Callithrix jacchus: one gene and its partners. The protein of the gene in region 3 purifies or fractionates together with the protein of the main gene of each other region. This does not show direct contact. Links are inferred from orthologs where the notes say so. Each region holds a gene or a part of one and is shown on either strand. Other genes may lie near its edges. The genes, in order: DNM3, SYNJ1, SNX9 and DNM1.

Evidence for each region.
Region 1: the proteins of SNX9 (region 3) and DNM3 purify together in Homo sapiens (co-immunoprecipitation; 3 studies listed by BioGRID and IntAct, counting the BioPlex papers as one, with this or other methods). This does not show direct contact. The link is inferred for Callithrix jacchus from reciprocal best matches to the Homo sapiens genes SNX9 and DNM3.
Region 2: the proteins of SNX9 (region 3) and SYNJ1 purify together in Homo sapiens (co-immunoprecipitation; 3 studies listed by BioGRID and IntAct, counting the BioPlex papers as one, with this or other methods). This does not show direct contact. The link is inferred for Callithrix jacchus from reciprocal best matches to the Homo sapiens genes SNX9 and SYNJ1.
Region 4: the proteins of SNX9 (region 3) and DNM1 purify together in Homo sapiens (co-immunoprecipitation; 6 studies listed by BioGRID and IntAct, counting the BioPlex papers as one, with this or other methods). This does not show direct contact. The link is inferred for Callithrix jacchus from reciprocal best matches to the Homo sapiens genes SNX9 and DNM1.

What each region holds. Positions count from the first base shown.
Region 1 is NC_133519.1:30,875,955-30,880,086, forward strand, and holds the start of DNM3 (dynamin-3), read right to left. Parts: upstream 2,846-4,132; 5' UTR 2,687-2,845; coding exon 2,526-2,686; intron 1-2,525. UniProt on the Homo sapiens protein: Microtubule-associated force-producing protein involved in producing microtubule bundles and able to bind and hydrolyze GTP. Most probably involved in vesicular trafficking processes, in particular endocytosis.
Region 2 is NC_133522.1:38,737,767-38,741,332, forward strand, and holds part of SYNJ1 (synaptojanin-1), read right to left. Parts: intron 2,104-3,566; coding exon 1,963-2,103; intron 1,668-1,962; coding exon 1,475-1,667; intron 918-1,474; coding exon 759-917; intron 1-758. UniProt on the Homo sapiens protein: Phosphatase that acts on various phosphoinositides, including phosphatidylinositol 4-phosphate, phosphatidylinositol (4,5)-bisphosphate and phosphatidylinositol (3,4,5)-trisphosphate. Has a role in clathrin-mediated endocytosis.
Region 3 is NC_133505.1:164,761,520-164,765,085, reverse strand, and holds part of SNX9 (sorting nexin-9), read right to left. Parts: intron 2,341-3,566; coding exon 2,251-2,340; intron 1,158-2,250; coding exon 1,043-1,157; intron 1-1,042. UniProt on the Homo sapiens protein: Involved in endocytosis and intracellular vesicle trafficking, both during interphase and at the end of mitosis. Required for efficient progress through mitosis and cytokinesis. Required for normal formation of the cleavage furrow at the end of mitosis.
Region 4 is NC_133502.1:176,857,321-176,860,474, forward strand, and holds part of DNM1 (dynamin-1), read left to right. Parts: intron 1-684; coding exon 685-926; intron 927-1,291; coding exon 1,292-1,507; intron 1,508-3,154. UniProt on the Homo sapiens protein: Catalyzes the hydrolysis of GTP and utilizes this energy to mediate vesicle scission and participates in many forms of endocytosis, such as clathrin-mediated endocytosis or synaptic vesicle endocytosis as well as rapid endocytosis (RE).

The DNA of each region.
Region 1 (4,132 bases), on a different chromosome or scaffold from region 3:
CAATAACTGCACATTAGATCAGAGGCTTAAAATGAAAACAGTTCCATGTAAAAGAGGAAAGTGCATCCTTAGGAAAGAACCTTATCTTTTTTGCAAAATTCCTAGATAAGAACAAGAAAACACTAAGATGTTATATTGGAAAATGGATACAATTTTTTCAGTTTGGCCGAATATCTTACCAAAATAGAAAACTCCATTTTCCCTAAAGGTTGGTTTATAATTGGAAATTGGATTCCTTAATGATTCAATGACCGAATATTTTATTAAACTCAATGACCTTTCTAAATAAATTTTCTCCTTAATATATAAGCTCTGCTAGGCAGGTGTCATCTCTACATATAATACAGACTTTACATATGGCTTAAATGACCTTTTTCCTCTATGTTCATCCTTTGATTTGACATCCTAGCAGTTAATTAGTGGTACAACTTTTTAATGTACAACAAATTACTAATGTATTCTCGTGTCTGATTTTTATCCTTATAATGTCCCTATTTGTTATTCCATCTTGAAAAATATCCAAGCTTGAATATTCTACTCTTCCATATTTCTGTTTTCAAATTATCATTTCAAAAGAACATAGCTAGTAAGGGGAAATGTGTACGATTTTATTATAACATTAGGAAAAATGTTAGAATTTCAAAACCTAGAAAATAGAATTATGATATGTGCATACAACTGGCATTAAAAGCTCTGACCACAAACAATGCATTTACATATAATATAGGCTCATCCAAGTAAATATATGGAAGATGTATAAAAATATGGTAATTTCATTTGAAATACCTACAATTTTAATCTTTAAGTATTTTGTTTAAGAAAACAAAAAATTCAATAACTTTTAAAGTGTCATGACAAAATGCCCTGGCATTTGGAAAACCAAAAATATATTATCAAAACTCACTCTTTGGATGCCCCTTTAAATCTAGTAAATTTCATTGGCAACAAAGAAAGTAACTGTTATGTTTGAAATAACACATTTATCCATCACTTCACCACAAGTCTAAGATGACATAGGCAAAATGCTTTACCTTCACTTTGCTCATTAATCAAAAAAATGATAAAAATGAGGTTTAGTGATTAAGTGAATTACTCAAGGATACAAGCCAATTGTCAGTAATTTTACTTTATTAGGTTGCTTATCTTTCTAGTTCATACAGGAAAAATAGTATCACCTGAGAGATGGAACACCATTTGAGAGAAAAGAATATGTACTTTATGAACACTAACATTTCCAAAGGAAATGTGGGAATATCCAGCTCTAAATTTTACACATCACCAAGCACTAACAAAAAAAAGAAAAAAGGAACAGGAACAGGAACCTTCTGCATTCCAAGTCACAAATGAGCCAAATAAAAAGAATAAAGTACAATCTCGCCAGCAATTTTTCTTGGCTACTGTACATTTCTACCTGATTTTCTACTACCAGGAAACAAATTTCACCTTTCATAACCCTTTCAAATGGGCTTTTCTGAGCAAATGTCTGCACTCTTCAGGCAAGGCCATTAAGGTAACTTAATCCCTCATGAATTGCTCAGTGGAAGAAATGCTGATTCCCAATTCAAAATTTAATTCCTTCGCTGTTTCTGTATCAAAAGTCATGAGGAAAACCACAGCTACAATTTAGATTCAGAATATTATCTCGAAGGCTAGCAAGACAAATAAGAGCTTAGAGAACGGAAAATGATGCTGGGGGAGGGGGCGCGGAGAGAGTGCGAGAAAGATGCTGGTCAGTTCCGAGATGATGCAGGAATGACATGGCACCTGGACAACACAAGTCCACGTCCACCCCCTGCCAAGTCTGTGCCTCGGGCTCTCTCGCAGTTGCCTGGAGCTGTGAATAGGTGCACACGCAAAAACACCACCTTTTATTCTTCGACTCTCGGGGAGGAGAATGGTGGGGAAGCGTCTGTGGAAAAAGCTTCACCACAACAAACGACGTCTTTCTCCTCGCACCCCGCCTCCCCAGCTAGGGGCAGGCGAAGACCGTCTAGAACAGTAGACAGCTGAGAGGAACAAGAGCCCAGGGGAGAAGGAAAGCATCTCCACCTAGGGGAGGGGGCTCGGGGGATAAAGCCCCACAGCCTCACAGCAAGCCTCGCGGAGGGCGGCAGGGAAAGGAGGGGAGTGTTGAGCCGGGAAAACAGGAGAGGGGACTGGGAAGCGTTGGCACGCTACGCAGGCAGGCTGCCCGGGGCTGGCGCGCACCGAGGGGATGGGGGTCCATCTCGGGGCGGACCCCTCCCCCGACTCCTAAACTGGAGGACCCGGAGGAAATGGCTTTGTATAGCAGGATGAAAGGCAGGCAGGAGGGCCACCAGCCGAGGGAAGGGGGGCGGGGTGGTAGGGGAAGGAGGATGCCCGGAGCTGGAGGACCCCGCCCGCCCCACGGACACCGTCACTCTGCCTCTCATTCCACCGCAGCCCCTGGTCCACCCTCTGGCTCCCGCTTCCAGTCCACTTTCCAACGGCCCGGAGCGGGGTCGCCCCCCGCCGCACCCCTATTCCGCGCCCTGCACGCTCACCTGCCCACGAAGTTCTCGAGCACGGAGCTCTTGCCGGCGCTCTGACCGCCCACCACAGCGATCTGCGGCAGCTCCAGCAGGCAGCTCTGTCCCAGGGCCGAAAAGGCGTCCTGCAGACGGTTCACCAGTGGGATCAGCTCCTCCATCTCCCGGTTCCCCATCTTGCCCGAGCGGCCGGCGGCCAGCTGGTCCCTGCTTGCCTCTACGACCTGGCCGGGAGTCGGGGCCGCGCTGCCCTGACTGCGGCTGGTGCGCCGAGCTCAGCTCGCCGGGTCCTGGCGCAGACGTCGGAGCCCGCCGCCAGCCCGCCGCTCGGCTCTGACAGCTAACGGCCCGCAGCGCGCCTGCGCGGGCGTCCAGGGGCGTGGCCTGGCTCCACGACGCCCCGCCCCGTGGCTGCCCCGCCCCGGGTTTCCCAGCCCACCACCCGCCCCGCGCGCACGGCCTCCCAGCTGCCGCCAGAAGACACCGCCTCTGCCTTCTGTGGCCAAGGCTCAGAGGCCAAGTTACAGCGCCGGGTCAAGGAATGGCATGAAGTCAGCAGCAGCCGGCAACGTTGTTCTCTTTCAGCGGCTACCAAGCCAAAGCCCAGCGGCTACCAAGTCAAAGTACTATCGCGGCTAACAACACAACACGGTCACAGCAAGAGCAGCACCGCCGCCACAACCACCGGGGCACCGCTGCCAGGGTACACTTCCCAAAAGGAAATCTCCTCAGTCACGCCCTTCTCCAGAACCCGCTAGGACTCCTCCCAGGGTAGCAGGCCTGTTGGAGTCTAAATTCTTCAATCTGACATCTAAGACCCTGAGTGGTCTGACCTTACCTAATTCTTCATCTGTAATGACTCGTCCCCCCGAGCCCCACATAAGCACAGGTAATGTCTGTAGGGTCTACCTGCCCCAGACACCCCTTCAGTCACTCTGGCCTGTGAGACTCTTCATGCCATTTGCCCTCCTGGTCTATCTCCTTCTACAGGGTCTATCCAGAACCAGATATTCTGGATGCATTCTATGAAATTTAGCATATTGAGAAGCGACTGTGTGTGAGGTCCTGTGCCTGATGATGGCGACACAAAGATCACTGGCCATGCTTCTCTTAGCCTCCACAGAGCGTTCCGTTTTAGTCTGCTCCTCAAATACTGGTGCTTCTCAGGGTTTAATATCTGGGCATTTTCTTGTCTCATGTTTATGCTTTGCCTGAGGACTTCCCACAGCTTTAACTCTGCGTAAAGGCTGGCGACTACAGAAATTTACATTGCTAGACCCTGTCTCTCTTCTGCAACTTAGACTATACTCCAAGAGGGACCCAGACCACTACCTGAGTGTCCTTCAAGTACCACAGACTGAATGTATTCAAAACTGAAGTCATCTTTTGTCATCTCAACATTTAATGTACAGTTCCTTCTAATTCTAAAAAGACTTGTATTAAAATGTTCATAATAACAAAAAAACCTGAAAACGACCAAAATGTCTCTCAACAGGTGAATGAATAAACAAATGTGGTATGTGTATACAGTGAACTATTCTCCACACCAAAATAGAGTAGACTTCTGATATAGCAACAACGTGGTTCAATCTCAGATACATTATGTAGAATGAAAAAGGCCA
Region 2 (3,566 bases), on a different chromosome or scaffold from region 3:
CCCTCTCCCACAAAGGATGGAGCACAGTGGGCTGAGTGAGCAGAGTCCACCCCCACTAGCACCCACGTACACCTTCCCACCTGTGAAGCGGTCAAGACCACTTGTTTGACATTTGATTAAACTAACTACAAAAACATGAATAAGGGAATTCTGCCCAATCTTTGTGTTATAGGAGACATTTAGAACTGGAAATGGGATTTTGGAAACATCTAGCCTGATATCCTGTTCTCAAATAAGGAGCTGAGGCCTGAAAAGGTAACGTGGTGCCCAAAGTGTTAGAATTCAAGTCTGGTGGTCACCAGACACCATACTAGATGGCCACTGATCCTTTTACCTAAAAAAAAAAAAATTTAATGAATTCTTCCCAAATTTTGTGGTCGTAAGTTTTAAGAAGTGTTTCAAAAGTCAGATGACATAAGAAACAAAAGAAAAAAGAGTCAATGACTATAGGACTTAACCCAAAAAACAGCCCTAAAGACTAAGATTCTAAACTATTACCAAGGAAAAAAAAAGTTTATCCTTCTATTAGAAAATGAATCTTATAGATACATAATATATTTTTCTTTCTGGGAATTATTATGGGTTTTCTCTTTCCTATTTTTATTACTTTAAGGAAAGATAATTCTATTATCTATTTACCTGCAGATATATAAGTATAAAAAGACCCCAAGAAAATTTTAAAACATCTTGATTAAAAAAGTCATGTTTCATGACCCAAAATCTTCTTAATACAAGTATTTTCTCAAGTATGAATATACCTGTCCGGCATTTTTCTGATTGATAAGTTGATCTCCTGCTATAAGAGAATCCCAGTTTTGCTGTCTTATGAGCTCTTTAACTTCTTCGTTAGGCAGATCGATTCGATAGTTGAAATCACCACACCAAAATACATAGTCATGGGAAAACAGCATTCTTCCCTGAAAGCAATGAGACAGAATTTTAAATTCAAAACAATCAACGTTCAAAATGTTTTAGAACTATTTCTTTGCCTCAGATATGCCTGTTTCCTCCCATGTTCTGTTTCTTTAACCCAACAGTAATAATACACATGAAAGGAAAATAAACCTCAGGACCTCAAAATCACTAAGCCCAGAGAAAAATGAAGCTGGGAACTATGGCAGGCAAACCTGCCTCTCATTTTATTCACAGGTCCAAAGATAAGAAGCTACGTAATTCTGTCACAATTTGCCCAAAGAAATTCCCTGTGGACAAAGGATAGACAGAACTCAAAGACATCCCTCTCAGACTCACCTGAGACAAATGCACATCTGACTGCTTCCTCTAGCCTACTGTTTATGTAAAAACGCAGATTCACTGACCCAGACTAAATTGTGTATTCAGTGGAAGGCTGATCTAGGACTTCTAAATGTTTCTAGGAACTATCTTAAATTTTCAAAAACACTGATGTAGAATTTGGGGCAAATTAAAATACATTTCAAAGCTTTATCTTCAAGAACAAGCAGCAAAAGCTTACCATAGGAAAACTCAACTTTCGTGCTATTTCTACAAAATCTTCATTTCTTTCTTTGACTTGTGACTGCCCTGCAGCAAAGTGACTACAGACGAAGCAAAGGCTGGTTGTATGGAACAGCATTCGGATTGCAACTGCTCCCTTATTTCCAGTTGCACCTCCCATTCCAGTCTTCACAGTATCAACTGCAACATCCCTTTGAAATGAAGAATTCTAAATCACAGATTGAAATTTCAAGAATGCCACGTGCATAGGAAATCAGGAATATACATAATCATACAAGTAACACATAATATGCTACTGTGAGGGCAAGCCTATGAAAGAGTACAGTGAAGCTATTAGTGAGTCTTTAATCAAAACCCCCAAAACCATTTTAAAACAAGAACTATGGATAGTTTTTGTTTGAAGAACAGAAATAATAAATATTCTAGGCTTTTTTCTTGTTATTTAATGGTAGGAAGTAGCCTTAGGAGAGTGTTCTGTTTACTGACCTGATAAAAGGAGCATGCTGTGGTCTGATAAAAACAAACAAACAGACGCCCACCAACTGCTCAGAAGCCAGCAGCACATACTTGTTGTCTCTGGAGATTGTCTTCTGAAGTTCTACAGCCCAGAGCTTCTGATTTGTTGTGCTACAAGAAAATATTAAAAAGGGATTTTTAAAAAAGATAATGACAACAGCCTATTTTATGACAATTGTCAATCATACCTTTATCTACCCAAACTTCCTAAGACTCTGAAGGAAGCTTAGGCTGTTTTTGTTTCCTTTAAAAAAGAAAACTCACAATTTAGACAAAAGAAAACCACAATTCAAAATCTAATCTATTATTTCTTTATGAAGAAAATATAAAGACATTAAATGACTCCTCGCTGGGTGAGTAAACTCAAACTTATACATTTTACTTTTTCCTTAAGTATTCATTAAGATCACAGAGAAGTACAGTAGTATCTGTGGGGGGCTGGTTCCAGCTCCTGTGGATGCCAAAATCTAAGGATGCTCAAACCCCTTATATAAAATGGAGTAGTATTTGCAGATAATCCATGCACATCTCTCGTATATTTTAAATCATTTCTAGACTACCTGTAATACTTAATACAATGTAAATGCTAGGTAACTAGCTGTTATATTATATTGTTTAGGGATTAATGATACCAAAAAAAGGCTAAAAAAAAGACCAAAAAAAGCCTGCACATGTACAGACACAATTTTTAAACATATTTAATATTCTGATGAGTTGAACCCAAAGATGTGAAACCCATCGACATGGAGAGCCAACTATATGTGCTTCCAGATACATTTCCCTACTTTTATTTTTCTAAATTATAATGTCTTCTAAAAAAATTTTGCTATGGGAAATTAGAAAACATAATTATTAAATAAACCACCATATACCCATTTCAAAATTATCAATATTTTGCCAATCTATTTTCTTCCATCCCTCTTCACCTTTGTTTTTTTGGTAAACCTAGAATATTTTGGACCAAATCTAAGACTTATGCAATTTCACCTGCAAATACTTCTATATGTATCTCTAATGCAATGAGACATTTTTATTTTTACATATTCACAATACTATTATCACATTTAAACATTAATTCCTTAATATCATCTAGTAGTTTATAAGTAAAGTTCCCCATTTATCAAAAAAAATCTTCTAACGGTTGGTTTGTTTCTTTTAAAAGGGTCCAAACAAGGTCTACATATTGCATTTGCCTGTTATGTCTCCTAATCTCTTTTTTATTTTTTGAGATGGGATCTCACTCTGTCACCCAGGGCTGGAGTGCTGTGGCAGGATCTTGGTTCACTGCAACCTCTGCCTGGGTTCAAGCGATCCTCCCAACATCAGCCTCCCAAGTAGCTGAAATTCATTCCTTATCTTCTCAATGAACCTTATCCTGATTATTCATTTGAGACTGCCAACACTTCTCTGTGTCCCTAGAGTTGATCCTTTTCCTCTATTTTCCACTGCACTTTTCTAACCTGCTATATAGTTTACTTATTGTAGTTATCGTTCACTGTCTGTTTCTTCCCACTAGAATACGAAGTCCACGAAGATAGGGATTTTTGTCTGTTTTATTCATTGGAGGTACCTAG
Region 3 (3,566 bases):
GCTTCGTATTTATCAATTCGATAACCTCAAACACAAGTTCAAAACCAAATTCCCCATTTCAAACCCTTCAAAACCCAAAACTTCAATCAGGTTTCCTTGTTTTTGCTGCCATGGCCTTGGCTCTGGACACTCCCTCGTCCTTCTCTTTCTCCCATGAATGCCCCAGTCTTGAAAGCTGTTCCTTGAAGAGCCTGCGAATGTGCTTCATTCTCTTCTCCCCAGGACCACACCTGTAGGTCCTCAAAGCTCAGGCTACACTAGCGATGGTCTTCTGGCCAGGCTCCGGGACAGTGTCTGCACCTCCAATCCCCCTCCACACCTATCAAATCCTTCTCCCTTGAGGATTGATTTTTTTCTCTCACTTAAAAACCTTTTAATGGCTTCTTAACACCCACATCAAGTCTAGAGCTTTCAAGTTCTTTCACAATCCAAATTTCATTCCCAATAACCTCTAAGTATGTTTTACTCTTTCACACCCATGACACAATCTAGCACCACAATTTTGTGGCTTTTGTTCCCACCAGAACACCCTCTCCATTCTCCTCTGCCCACGTCAGTGCCATCCACCCGTCCACCAACAGGAAAAATCTATTTGCTGCTCTCATCTGCTCAAAAACACTCAAACCTATACACATTAATGTCTTTTTTAAAAAAAAAAAAAAAAAACACACAAAAAACCTGCCTAAAATGACACATCCAAACCCCTTCACATTCCACGATCCCAAGGCATGCAGGTGACAGACTGCTAAAAGCTGAGCACTGGCATTTAATAGAGCATGATGACATCACAGATTACAAAAGGAATCTTCCATGTGTCTGAGAAATAAAAAAATGTGCAGTTTTAATCAAGCTGTCATCCATAGCTACATAAGGTAGACAGGTGAAAATCTGAATAAATATCACAGATTTTCATCAACACCGGGATCCTGCAAACAAGGGGCTTCTTTAACTACTGCTCACATTTGGATTTCTCTCTAGCAAGGGAAGCTTTGCTGGGGGAGATGAACTCCACCAGCACCTCATAAGGACCCTTTGATCTCACCTTGCAGCGCGTAGGACATGGTGCTGACTCTCTTCACCATGTTCTGTTTGTCTTGTGGGGTGATTTTACTTGTTGCAACTAGTTTGTCACTTTCTTTCACTTTTTCTATTGCTCCCTGAGAAATATAAAATGCAACAGTATTAATAAAGCTAAAATGATGAGTCATTAGTTTAAAATATAACAATGCTAATATAGTCTATAACTGATTTACTACTGAACAGGAAATATTTCCACAAAATAAGAAGAAAGGAAAGCATCTGAATTTAACTTCCTTCAAGTCCCTTGGAAGCAAAACGGTTGCTATTCTTGAAAAATGTAACTAAGCTAAAATGAAAAGTTTTAAGCTACAACAAAAGAGAAGAGCAAACAGCACACCATCTCTGTAATATTGAGAAGCCGGTGCCATCTGAAGAGTAGCACATCATGGCAATCAGGCATTAGCAAGTTTCGAAAGTCATCTGGCTAGGTACAGAGTAGTGTGTGCACGCAGGCAGTCTCCATCTCTTCTTTTATCCAACAGAATATTTTATGAGCTAGTGCTTAAGTGCGCTGATTGTAAGTCAGGGCTTTACTTCGATTCTTGTAAGAGGCACTGCATCAATGTGAAGACTTAGATGGAAGTGGTGGGAAACACTGCCAAACATTTCCCACTCCAATATCATCATGCTGCTCGTTACTTAGGACTGTCTGGAAAGAAAAGCTCTATACTCATGCATACATTAGGTTCCAGGCCTACAACTCTGATGCTGCTGGCATACATTTCTACAACAAGCTCACTGTTCTGAGTTTTATATTAAGTTATCTGAAGTTGTACAAACCTAATTTACCTACGCAACCCTTTCATGATTATTTCAGTTATAAAACAGAATGCTAAAATGGCCACACGCCACGACTGTTAAGATCACAGCCCAATCCTTGGCAGAGATATTCCTAACAACTCCAAGTACACAGCAATATACTAGACTACTATGGTTGACATAAAATACTCACAACTCATGCCTGAGGTGATGTACAGATTTTTAAAAAGGGAGAGAAAACCAGAATTAATAAGTGAAGACACTCCAAACCAATTTTAAAAGTCAGTTACAAAACCTGAATTATCTATTGTTTCCTTTTTAATAATAAAGCTATAAGACCTATACTGACGACTGCACACACATGCCTGCTTCGTCTGGTGGTGTATTCTTTAAGTGTCTAGATCAGGTTACCTTGTGAGTGCCAATGATGTCAGGGAAGCAGCCAAGAAAACCTTTATACTCGTGATTACATTCCATCAGGAAATGGAGATCTTTCTTTGGCTATAACAAGATACAAGCTGGTTGTTACTGGCAGAGAAATTCAGAAAATCCAGGAAAAGGTAACTATTATATCCAAAGACTACAAATCCTGCATGTGCTACACTAAACTGCTGAGTGTGAAGCATTCACGTTACTTTTTCTAAAAGGAAATAACTCCAAAGACTGCCATACTTTGAATCACATGTTGTAAAGAAAACGACAAAACATATAATTTTTAAGTTGGTTTGTAAAAGTATTTTGACATGGCCCAAAATATACCACCACAAAGGAAAAAAATTCATCTAATACTGTATGTTTATATACAAGCAAATGAGCTGCTGAAGTTGAACTTCTAAATATGAGCAGAGAATATAAAAATATTATTAAAACACCTAGTAATCATTTTAACTTCTTCCATTTTTTTCTGAATTATGATTTTAGTAGCTATGTTACTCACATTTCTACAATGAATGCTTTTTTAGAAGTATCAGAAAGTAGCCCATAACCACATTAGTGGGTGTACACATCTGTGTATCCACAAACATAGTTTTAAGTCATCTGAAAAAAACGTTTTTTAAGTAAGGGATTGGAAAATTAACTTTGATTCTTCTTAAGGGAACTTATCTGTTATTTAAAAACAAAAACAAAACCCTGAAATTGGGCTACTAAAGACTCCAACAAAAGCTTGTGGCTAGGATAAGGACCTGCCCTGTCCTGGGGACTGTAGCCAGTGCTTTTTATTTATGAGCTCTTAAATTTTGAGAACCATACAGGGTAGACACTACCACTGCAGATGAACAGATGAGGAAACCATGGCTCAGAGAGGCTAAGCAACGGTCCATACAGACCGGAGCCAGCGTTCTTTCCTGTTTATTAGAATCCACTGAAGGCTAAGAACGGATCGCAGGAATCAATACTGGATTGCGTTCATTTATATTTCTTTTTCTTTTGAGATAGAGTCACACTCTGTCACCCAGGCTGGAGTGCAGTGGTATGATCACAGCTCACTGTAGCCTTGACTTCCCGGGCCCAAGTGATCTTCCTACCTCAGCCTCCCGAGTAGCTGGAATCACAGGTGTACACCACTACACCTGGCTAATTTTTAGGGGTTCCCTGTGCTGCCCAGGCTGGTCTCAAACTCCTGGACTCAAGTGATTCACCTGCCTTGGCCTCCCAAACTGCCAGATTACAGGTGTGAGCCACTGTGCCTGGCCTATTTAGATTTCTTGATGACAAATTTATCCATC
Region 4 (3,154 bases), on a different chromosome or scaffold from region 3:
GGTGGAAGTTGGAGTGAGCCGAGATCGCGCCACTGTATGCCAGCCTGGGTGACAGAGCAAGACTCCATCTCAAAAAAAAAAAAAAAGAAAGAAAGAAAGAAAAAGAAATGTAATGAAGTGCTGGGCATGGTGGCTCATGCCTGTAATCCCAGCACTTTGGGAGGCTGAGGCTGAAGGATCACTTGAGCCCAGGAGTTCAAGACTATTCTGGGCAACACAGTGAGACCTTGTCTCTACATAAACTTGGTAGTAGCACGTGCTTGTAGTCCTAGCTACTGGAGAGGCTGACATTGGAAGATCACTTTGAGCCCAGGAAGTTGAAGCTAGTAAGTGGTAATGTTGACACTGTACTCCAGCCTGGAGACAGAGGGAGACCCTATCTCAAAGGAAAAAACAAAACTGAGTAGACAAGTGTTCTGGTGGCATGATAGGTCCTAAGTCCCCTCCCAGATCTGTGACCTAGGTCAGATGACTTTTCCTCTGGACCTCAGTGTCCCCATCTCAATGAGAAAAGCGCAGTGGGAAGGCGGAACTTCCAGTCTAAGCAGTGTTGGAGCCGCGTCTGAAAAGCCATACTCTGGGCTTCAAGTCCAGCGCACAGTCCCAGCAGGGCCCGGTGAGGCGGCCAGGGCGGCACAAGGGATGGGGAGGTCCCACCTTCCTTCCCTCTTTGCCCACTCGCAGACCAAGGAGTTCATCTTCTCGGAGCTTCTGGCCAACCTGTACTCATGTGGGGACCAGAACACGCTGATGGAGGAGTCGGCGGAGCAGGCACAGAGGCGCGATGAGATGCTGCGCATGTACCACGCGCTGAAGGAGGCGCTCAGCATCATCGGCGACATCAATACGACCACCGTCAGCACGCCTATGCCCCCGCCCGTGGACGACTCCTGGCTGCAGGTGCAGAGCGTACCGGCCGGACGCAGGTACCAGGGCCGGCCCCCACGGCCCCAAAGCCCCCCAGCCCGGGGCCCGCGGGAGGAGTGCCGGGACCGGGCAGTGGCGCGCCCGCGTCACCGGGGTGGCTCCCACCTGGAGCGAGGGGCGGAGCTTAGAGAGGGCGGGGCTTGCTGCAGGGCGGGGCTTGCCGTGGAGCGCTGGCTGCGGGGCGGGGGGAGCTGGGACGTGGCGCCGCTGGGGGCGGGGCTTAAGCTCCGGCGACCGCCTCGGGGCGCGGCAGGGAGGGGCTTGCGTGCATGGGCGTGGCCTGCACTGGGCTGGGGCGGGGCCTCTGGGTGGGCGGAGCCGCTCATCTGGCCTCTCCTTGTTCCTTGCTCCCTGTCGCCCTCAGGTCGCCCACGTCCAGCCCCACGCCGCAGCGCCGAGCCCCCGCCGTGCCCCCAGCCCGGCCCGGGTCGCGGGGCCCTGCTCCTGGGCCTCCGCCTGCTGGGTCCGCCCTGGGGGGGGCGCCCCCCGTGCCCTCCAGGCCGGGGGCTTCCCCTGATCCCTTCGGCCCTCCCCCTCAGGTGCCCTCGCGCCCCAACCGCGCCCCGCCCGGGGTCCCCAGGTGAGTAGGGCCTGAATGCGGCGGCAGAGGCCGCGGACGGGCGTGACCGGGAGGGAAATGGGGCTGGATTCCAGAGCATCGGACCTGGCCGCCAGAACCGGCGTTTCCATCCCAGGCAATCAGACTCTGGGTGCCGGAGCCACGCCACGAGTGGCCGAGGGCTGGAGCCTGCCCCCGAGGGAGCGCTGAGTCCCGGAGGTGGTCGTTTCTGGGGACGGGCTGTGGGGCTCGTCCCACCTGCCCCCTTCTTTCTAGCACTTGCATGGCGCTTCCCTCTATTTTCACTCTTGGCGGCCGCCCACACGTTGCATTCCTCCTCCTTTCTTCTCGCTGTCCTCCATCCTCCATTCCGTCCAATTCCTCTCCCAACCCCTGGGGAGCCTACCTCAGGTCTGAGTCTAAACCCCGATCTGCTCTGGGTGTGTGGATTTCCTTCAGCTACCCTGATGTCCCCACTTCCCAGTCCTGACTCCTTTGAGCCATCCCAGGGGGTGTCCTGCCACTGGCCCACAGGAGCAGAGGCCAGGCTGTGACTGTGTGACTAGCAAGGTGTGTGATGTGTGTGTGGGCGTGCACACGAGTGTGAGAGTGTAAGAATGGCACCCAGGCCTGGGCTAGGACACGAGCAGGTGGGGAAGGAGCCTAGTGCCATGGGCAATCTGATGGCTCCCCCCCTCACCCCCCACAGCTTCTGACACTACCCAGTCTAAACCAATGTGCAGGGGTGGCAGCAGGGGCAGGGATGGGAGTGACTGAAGCCTGCTTCATTCCCAGAGATTTCTAGGGAAAAGCTTTCTACTACATCCTTTGGCTTGACCTTCTTGACCCATGACCCTCTTTTAGGGAAGTTCACTTGGATTCCCAGTCTGCTCTGTTTCCACTGGCCAGGTTCTCTAAGGAATAACACACCAGAACCATAGCATCTGTTTTTGTTTCCACATGGCTGGAGGGTAGGGCTGTGGGTCTAGCACCCATAAACGAAAATGAGGTAGGGATTGGGGCTTGCCCTATGATGCTCTGATGACCAAAGCAGATGGGTAGAGGCAAGCAGCATGATATTGGGTAAGAGCATTGGACTGGGAGTCCAGAGATGCTACTTCACCATGGGGCTTTAGGCAAGTCCCTTTCCCTCCCAGAGCCTCAGCATCCCTTCTATCAAAAGATGACCTTCTGCCTTTCTACCTGGGTGGTTGTGGGGATCAAGGGAGACAGTGGCTATAGGGATCCTGTGTTAACTGTAGATGCGACCGTAGGAGCACTTTGCTAACTGCCAACGTGAGTTCAGACTGTTCAGGGTATTTGGTACTCAGGTCTGTGGTGTGGTGTGCCATATGGGATGTAAGGTTTGATGCCTGCTCTGACTCCAGTCTTGCTAACACATGCAAAACATTTGGCAAATCATGGACCTGCCTTGGGGAAAAGAGTAGTCTGGGAGAGCTTCTTCAAGGCAACGTGACTTCAGTGCAGTCCAAGGCATGACTGAGATAGGCTTATGTGGCAAGGAATCAGGAGAGTATCTGGGTAAAGAGCTGCAGCGTGGGCAGATATGTAGTGTGGGCTGCATCGAGGATAGCCACTGGCCAAAGCAGAGAACAGAGACAGAATGAGGAAGAGCTCTGTGGGGATGGTGGGGCATAGGGTGGAGAA